2 linked regions of the Saccharomyces cerevisiae S288C genome follow. Changing the gene in region 1 together with any one later gene gives a genetic interaction. Each region holds a gene or a part of one and is shown in the gene's direction. Other genes may lie near its edges.

What was found.
Region 2: of ECM22 (region 1) and STE12, changing one suppresses a phenotype caused by changing the other (phenotypic suppression), as found in Saccharomyces cerevisiae (one study listed by BioGRID).

The regions. Positions count from the first base shown.
Region 1 is NC_001144.5:600,532-604,290, reverse strand, and holds the start of ECM22 (Ecm22p), read left to right. Parts: upstream 1-1,827; coding exon 1,828-3,759. Other genes in the region: Rho family GTPase CDC42, read left to right, coding at 1-79.
Region 2 is NC_001140.6:272,050-275,808, forward strand, and holds the start of STE12 (homeodomain family transcription factor STE12), read left to right. Parts: upstream 1-2,124; coding exon 2,125-3,759. Other genes in the region: SAM complex subunit SAM35, read left to right, coding at 578-1,567. UniProt on the Saccharomyces cerevisiae protein: Binds to the DNA sequence mediating pheromone induction (called the pheromone response element = PRE) which is found in the upstream control region of several a-, alpha- and haploid-specific genes.

The DNA.
Region 1 (3,759 bases):
GAATGTATTCGATGAAGCTATCGTGGCCGCCTTGGAGCCTCCTGTTATCAAGAAAAGTAAAAAATGTGCAATTTTGTAGTCATATTAGTATATGCCCATCTTTTCTTAATCTATATCTAAAATTAACTTATATATACACCTTCCTATCCTTTTATTATCGTTGTATTTCATTTTTTCGCTTTGCTCAGAGTTGATTCTCTTTGTTTCTTGCGCCAGGATCATCCGTCTGTTCAAGGCGGAGTAGTGCAAAAAAGTCGAGCCGTCAAGCCCCAAACGTTCAATACTTCCATGTTCTTCAACGCTAAACGCGACATTTGCGAGTCCTACCACGTCTTCTCCGTTTACGGGCAAAAACACCTCTTAACATCAAAAATTTGGCTTTCGTGCTTTTTTCTGAAATATATTCGTTGCATAGACACGGTATGCATATGAAACATTCAGGCTAGCAATCAATACTTAAACCCTTTACGGGCGTGCATGATGTATCAGGAAACCAGTTTGAGAATGTCGCCCACCAAGCTCCATGGAAAGGCGCAAACCAATTACGCGGAACACAAAAATGGGCCTTTTTTTGATCGCCTCAAAGGCCGGACCAGGTTCGTTAAACGTCTGTAGAGGTGCCGAACAATTTTTGTCTAGAATAAATTTCCATTTTTCTGGCATTTAATTCTAGGCTTTCTGGTCTCTTTGTTCTTGCAGCTAGCCCATTGGGTGCTCTTCAAAATATGTCAATATCACCTTGATTTTGAAAATGCGCCCGTAAAATTGGACTTATGCTACAAATATATTCTACAGGAAAAGATCCGCAAGGTCTGCTTTAGCGTAAAAACGACCTCCCAGTATTTTATATAACCTCAGCCATTTCACTGAATGATACATAGTAGCATATATAGCTAGGCCTAAATGTATTTTTTTTTACAACTTTTTAGATCGCTGCGTGAAGGATGAAACTTCATATGAGTACGGACGTTTGAAAGGGTAGAGTGGCGCTAGCATAGAAATGCCATTTCTCGGAGGTGTCATCATTCGAAAAGAACTCAATTTTCAAGCGATTGAGATTCAAAGGCAAACCGATGCCTCCTCATTGGTCACATCTTCATGTAAACTGTGGCTGCTTTTTTTTCTAAATACTCTATGACTACAGCTTTCCTTTGTACAAACTCAAGTTTATTTAATCGTCTTTTTTAATGTTTATGTTCAACATACCCGAAACCACTACAAGACGGAAAATACTAGAGAAACATCAACAAATGAAAAAAAAAGGCTACAATCCTCGGATGAAACTGATAAAAACGAGCACAGTATATGCCGAGTCGTAGCATTTAACGTACTAACACTACTCGCCAAATCATAAGAGCTTCATGCTGACGTGTGTATCTATATCGCTTTTACAGATCCTGCAACCGACAGAGCCGAAAACGTAATTGGTGACTCGTTCCTCGTTCTTGTCGGAAAAATTTAAACGAGCGCGTTCGATAAACTCAACGAAGGCAAGTTTGAACAATAGATGTTGGTCGTAATCATTCGTTCTTCGACTTTTATAGCCTTTTTTTTAACTTAACGAACTCGTACTATCTAATAGTTTATTTCCCCTTGTTTTTTTTTGTTACGATTGGGGAAAAGCAAGGGTTCCCTGCGTCTACGATTACATCATCTACTAACTAGTCACCGAAATCGATTATCGTCGAAGGAGAAGCAACCAAGACCTCCACTTTTCAAAGGCACAAATAACATTTCGCCTTTACATAATATAGAGGAGTTAAGTCGACGGTTTTTTTCATTTAAGGTTTATATTTCGTTTATCCATAGATCTCCATCTAACATAACATGACATCCGATGATGGGAATGCTGGACAAGAAAGAGAGAAGGATGCTGAACTGATTGAGGTTGGGGGCAAGAAAGTGAGCAAGACTTCGACAGGGAAACGGAAGTTTCATAACAAGTCCAAGACCGGTTGCGACAATTGTAAAAGAAGAAGAGTAAAATGTGATGAAGGCAAACCATTTTGCAAGAAATGTACAAACATGAAATTGGACTGTGTTTACAGCCCTATTCAGCCAAGAAGAAGAAAAGATTCTTCGTCGTCAAAATTTGCATCAGCGGTCCACGATAGGGTAGGCAAGAAAAATCTGAGTGACAATGCCATCATGTTACAACAACAACAACAGCAACTTCATCATCAACAAGAACAGCAATTTCGTCAACAACAGCAAGTTCAGTTACAGCAGCAACTGTTGCCACATGTTGGTACTGATGAACAAAGCAATTCCCCTAATAGCGTTCCTCCATCCGTATCCAATAATATGGAGAATCTTTTGTTACCGCACCTATTAGCGAGTTTAGTGAATAACACCAGTAACAGTACCAACAGCAGTGCAAATGGAGCTGAAGCGCATAATAATATAACACAAACAGCTCCCAGTTCAATGATAAACAACAACCACCCAAACATGGCCCTACCAGGGAATTCGCCATTGAGTATACCGATAACACCTAGTTTTCAATCAACGGCCATGAATTTATCAAGTAGCCTTAACGGCTTACTCTCGCCTGGTAGGCTAAATTCGGTGACGAATGGATTGCAGCAGCCACAACTTCAACAACAAAATCAGCAAATTCCACAACAACAAGGAACACAGTCCCCCTTCAGCAATATTCCCTTCGACCAGCTAGCGCAATTGAACAAGATGGGCTTGAACTTCAATATGAAGAGCTTCAATACATTATTTCCATACGGTGCTGCAAATGGAATGGCCTCTGAGTTTCAAGAGTTATTTGGCCTCGGAAAGTTTGCTACATCTAATAACAGAGCAATCAAAGTTAGCACAGCAGAGGAGGCACTCGCAAATATGCAACAGGAACAGGAGGACAAAAACAAGCAATTTACGAAGAACCCATTGGATAATACTAAGACGGATGCTGTTAATTCGGGCAATAACCCCCTTAACGGAAACGAAAATAAAGTTACTGCTTCTGATATACTATCTCATAACAAAAACTTGATAATCGACAATACCGGTCTCACAATCAGTCCCCCACACACGTTGTCCAAACCTTCCATAGATCAAAACATTGCGTCCCCTTCAACGGGAGTATCCAATGTAACCTCTACAAAGTCATTGTTATCTATACCGGACAACAGGACCGCTTTGGGAAATTCTCCTACTTTGAAGACGTCCCCAATGGGTGACCTGTTATCCAACTCGGAGGCATTGTCTCCACGTTCATCAAATTCTCACACTCAACAACAATCTTCTCCCCATTCAAACGCTTCATCAGCCTCACGACTAGTCCCTGAATTAGTCGGGCTGTCTAGAAAATCAAATTTGAATTTGATAGATCTAAAACTTTTTCATCACTATTGTACTGACGTATGGCATACCATAACCGAAGCAGGCATTTCTGGTCCTGAAGTATGGAGCACTTATATTCCGGATTTGGCTTTTCATTTTCCCTTCTTGATGCATACAATTTTGGCTTTTAGCGCCACTCATTTGTCCAGAACTGAAGCCGGCTTGGATAACTACGTGTCTAGTCATCGTTTAGAAGCGTTGAGACTGTTAAGAGAGGCTGTGCTCGAAATTTCAGATGATAACACAGATGCTTTGGTGGCTAGTGCTCTAATATTAATCCTAGATTCATTGGCAAATGCTTCAAGCAGCTCACCAACGGCATGGATTTTCCATGTTAAAGGCGCCGTAACTATACTAACTGCTGTATGGCCCCTGTCGGAGACATCCAAGTTTTATAACTTAATT
Region 2 (3,759 bases), on another chromosome or scaffold:
CAGAGAACAATATCCGGGTCACGTGAAAGTTAGATAAGCATGCAAAGATAGCCAGAGAGATTTCGAAGTTGAATAAAACAAGGGAATGGGTCACTTGTTATATTCTTTACAGATTGAGAGTGCAGTAATATTCTGCGGACGCCAGTAAGTACTGTTTGAGGTTGTATTTTTATAGTAGAGGACACTTGAGACTGTGTAAAATGCGCTCACCAAAAAAAAGGGTCTGTTTGCGATCAACAAACAAATAATAAGATAAGTTAGGGAAAAGAAAGGTGAACACTGTTGCGGAATGCGTGGACTGCTTGTGTAAAAATGCTAGTAATGAGGGAAGTGTGGACTTGATATGGCCTGTTGTGGAAGCCTGAGAGTTCTTTCACGTGCTGTGTTCGGCCCGCCTATATAGGGACAAATTGTTAAAAAGATAAATAAATATAATCTGCCTCGGAAGGGGTTGGGAACGCCCGGCAGTAGCGATGAGGGTAACGGGACGATATTTAGAAGTGAATGCTGAAATAAATGGTGTGAAGGCCTCTTGTATGTCGTCTCATATAGGGCTAAAACGAAGCCATCGTGCACAATGGTAAGTTCATTCAGTGTTCCCATGCCAGTAAAACGGATATTTGACACATTTCCGTTACAAACATATGCTGCGCAGACTGACAAGGACGAGGCCGTTGCATTAGAAATACAGCGGAGGTCCTACACATTCACAGAACGCGGTGGTGGAAGCTCTGAGTTGACTGTGGAGGGGACGTACAAGCTAGGTGTTTACAACGTTTTTTTGGAGGCAAATACAGGGGCGGCATTGGCCACAGATCCATGGTGTCTGTTTGTTCAGCTTGCGCTGTGTCAAAAGAATGGTCTAGTCTTACCCACGCACTCGCAGGAACAAACCCCATCGCATACCTGTAACCATGAAATGCTCGTTCTGTCCCGTCTTTCTAACCCCGATGAGGCCCTACCTATTCTAGTTGAGGGTTACAAGAAGAGAATTATAAGATCCACCGTGGCAATCAGCGAAATTATGAGGTCTCGGATACTTGATGATGCTGAGCAGTTGATGTACTATACGTTGCTGGATACCGTGCTGTACGATTGTTGGATCACGCAAATAATTTTCTGTGCCTCAGATGCGCAATTCATGGAATTGTACTCTTGCCAGAAGTTAAGTGGTTCGATAGTCACTCCATTGGACGTAGAAAACTCTTTATTACAGAAGTTGTCCGCAAAGAGTTTGAAGATATCCCTAACAAAGCGGAACAAGTTCCAGTTCCGCCATCGAGAAATCGTCAAGAGTATGCAAGGAGTTTATCACAACCATCACAACTCCGTTAATCAAGAGCAGGTCTTGAACGTTTTGTTCGAGAATAGCAAGCAAGTTCTTTTAGGTTTAAAAGATATGTTGAAAAGCGACGGGCAACCCACTTACTTACATCTGAAAATTGCAAGTTACATTCTTTGTATAACGAACGTTAAGGAACCCATAAAGCTAAAGACATTTGTTGAAAACGAATGTAAAGAATTGGTCCAGTTTGCACAAGACACCCTGAAGAACTTCGTTCAGTAATCACTTTCAAGCTGTAGTATGTAAACGATATAGATGAAGTTTTCGTGTGTATAAATATATGAACTCTAGAGTGTTGCATAATTTGAAACACAGCATTTCTTTTCGGAGAGCTCGTTTCAAAATGAAACAAACGCCGTTGTCCGTTTTCGTCTCAATAGAAAAAGTGAAACAGATAAAAATTGTTTTAAAAGAAACGAATTTGCAACATCTTAAGATATATCAAAACTAATACAAAACAGCCTAAAAAAGATTGAACAACTCTTCGCGGTCAGGTCTCGACACCATAAATCGAAGTACTCGTACGCTAGTTTTCTCGCACATAGTACCACTACGTTCCTTTTACAATTAGATTACTTCTTTTTAGTTGACTTTTTTGAGACGTTCGTGCCATTCATAAAATAGGAAAAGATAACAGGTAAGCACTGAAGACTTGTTTTATAAGTGTCCCAAGCGAGACCTAGAGTGGATATTGATATTTCTCAAACAAGACTCGTCGAAGAAAACACACTTTTATAGCGGAACCGCTTTCTTTATTTGAATTGTCTTGTTCACCAAGGATGAAAGTCCAAATAACCAATAGTAGAACAGAGGAAATCTTAAAAGTTCAAGCTAATAATGAAAACGATGAAGTCAGTAAAGCTACTCCGGGCGAAGTTGAAGAATCGCTAAGGTTAATCGGCGATCTAAAATTCTTTTTAGCCACAGCGCCGGTAAATTGGCAAGAAAACCAAATTATAAGGCGATACTATCTGAATAGTGGACAAGGCTTTGTCTCTTGTGTATTTTGGAACAATCTATACTATATTACAGGTACTGATATTGTCAAATGTTGTCTTTACAGAATGCAAAAGTTTGGGAGAGAAGTAGTTCAAAAGAAAAAATTTGAAGAGGGTATTTTTTCAGATTTAAGAAATCTCAAATGTGGTATAGATGCAACTTTAGAACAACCAAAGTCCGAATTTTTGTCGTTTCTATTCAGAAATATGTGTCTGAAAACCCAAAAAAAGCAGAAAGTATTTTTTTGGTTCAGTGTAGCACATGATAAGTTGTTTGCGGATGCGTTGGAAAGAGATTTAAAAAGAGAAAGTTTGAATCAGCCTTCAACGACTAAGCCCGTTAATGAGCCCGCCTTATCTTTTTCATATGATTCCTCATCTGATAAGCCTCTCTACGATCAGTTACTTCAACATTTAGATTCTAGAAGACCATCTAGTACAACAAAATCAGATAATTCGCCTCCAAAATTAGAAAGCGAGAATTTTAAGGATAATGAGTTGGTAACAGTAACTAATCAGCCGCTTTTAGGCGTTGGCCTCATGGATGACGATGCGCCAGAATCCCCCTCTCAAATTAATGATTTTATTCCTCAGAAATTGATTATAGAACCCAATACTCTCGAATTGAATGGTCTCACAGAAGAAACGCCTCATGACTTACCCAAGAATACCGCTAAGGGCAGAGACGAAGAAGATTTTCCTCTCGACTATTTTCCTGTATCTGTTGAATACCCTACGGAGGAAAATGCGTTTGATCCGTTCCCTCCACAGGCTTTTACGCCAGCTGCCCCTTCCATGCCTATTTCCTATGATAACGTGAATGAAAGGGATTCTATGCCCGTTAATTCTCTTCTTAATAGATACCCCTATCAGTTATCAGTGGCACCCACTTTCCCAGTGCCACCATCATCATCGAGGCAACATTTTATGACAAATCGGGATTTTTATTCATCTAACAATAACAAGGAAAAATTGGTATCTCCTAGCGACCCTACCAGCTACATGAAGTATGACGAACCAGTTATGGATTTTGATGAATCTCGGCCAAATGAAAACTGTACAAATGCAAAATCTCACAACTCTGGCCAGCAAACTAAACAACACCAATTATATTCTAACAACTTCCAGCAATCTTACCCAAACGGAATGGTTCCAGGATACTACCCAAAAATGCCGTATAATCCCATGGGGGGGGATCCTCTACTCGATCAAGCCTTTTATGGCGCGGACGATTTTTTCTTTCCACCAGAAGGATGTGATAACAATATGCTGTATCCACAAACTGCAACTTCATGGAATGTTTTGCCCCCTCAAGCTATGCAACCAGCTCCAACCTATGTTGGGAGACCATACACACCGAATTATAGATCGACACCAGGTTCCGCGATGTTCCCATACATGCAAAGTTCAAATTCC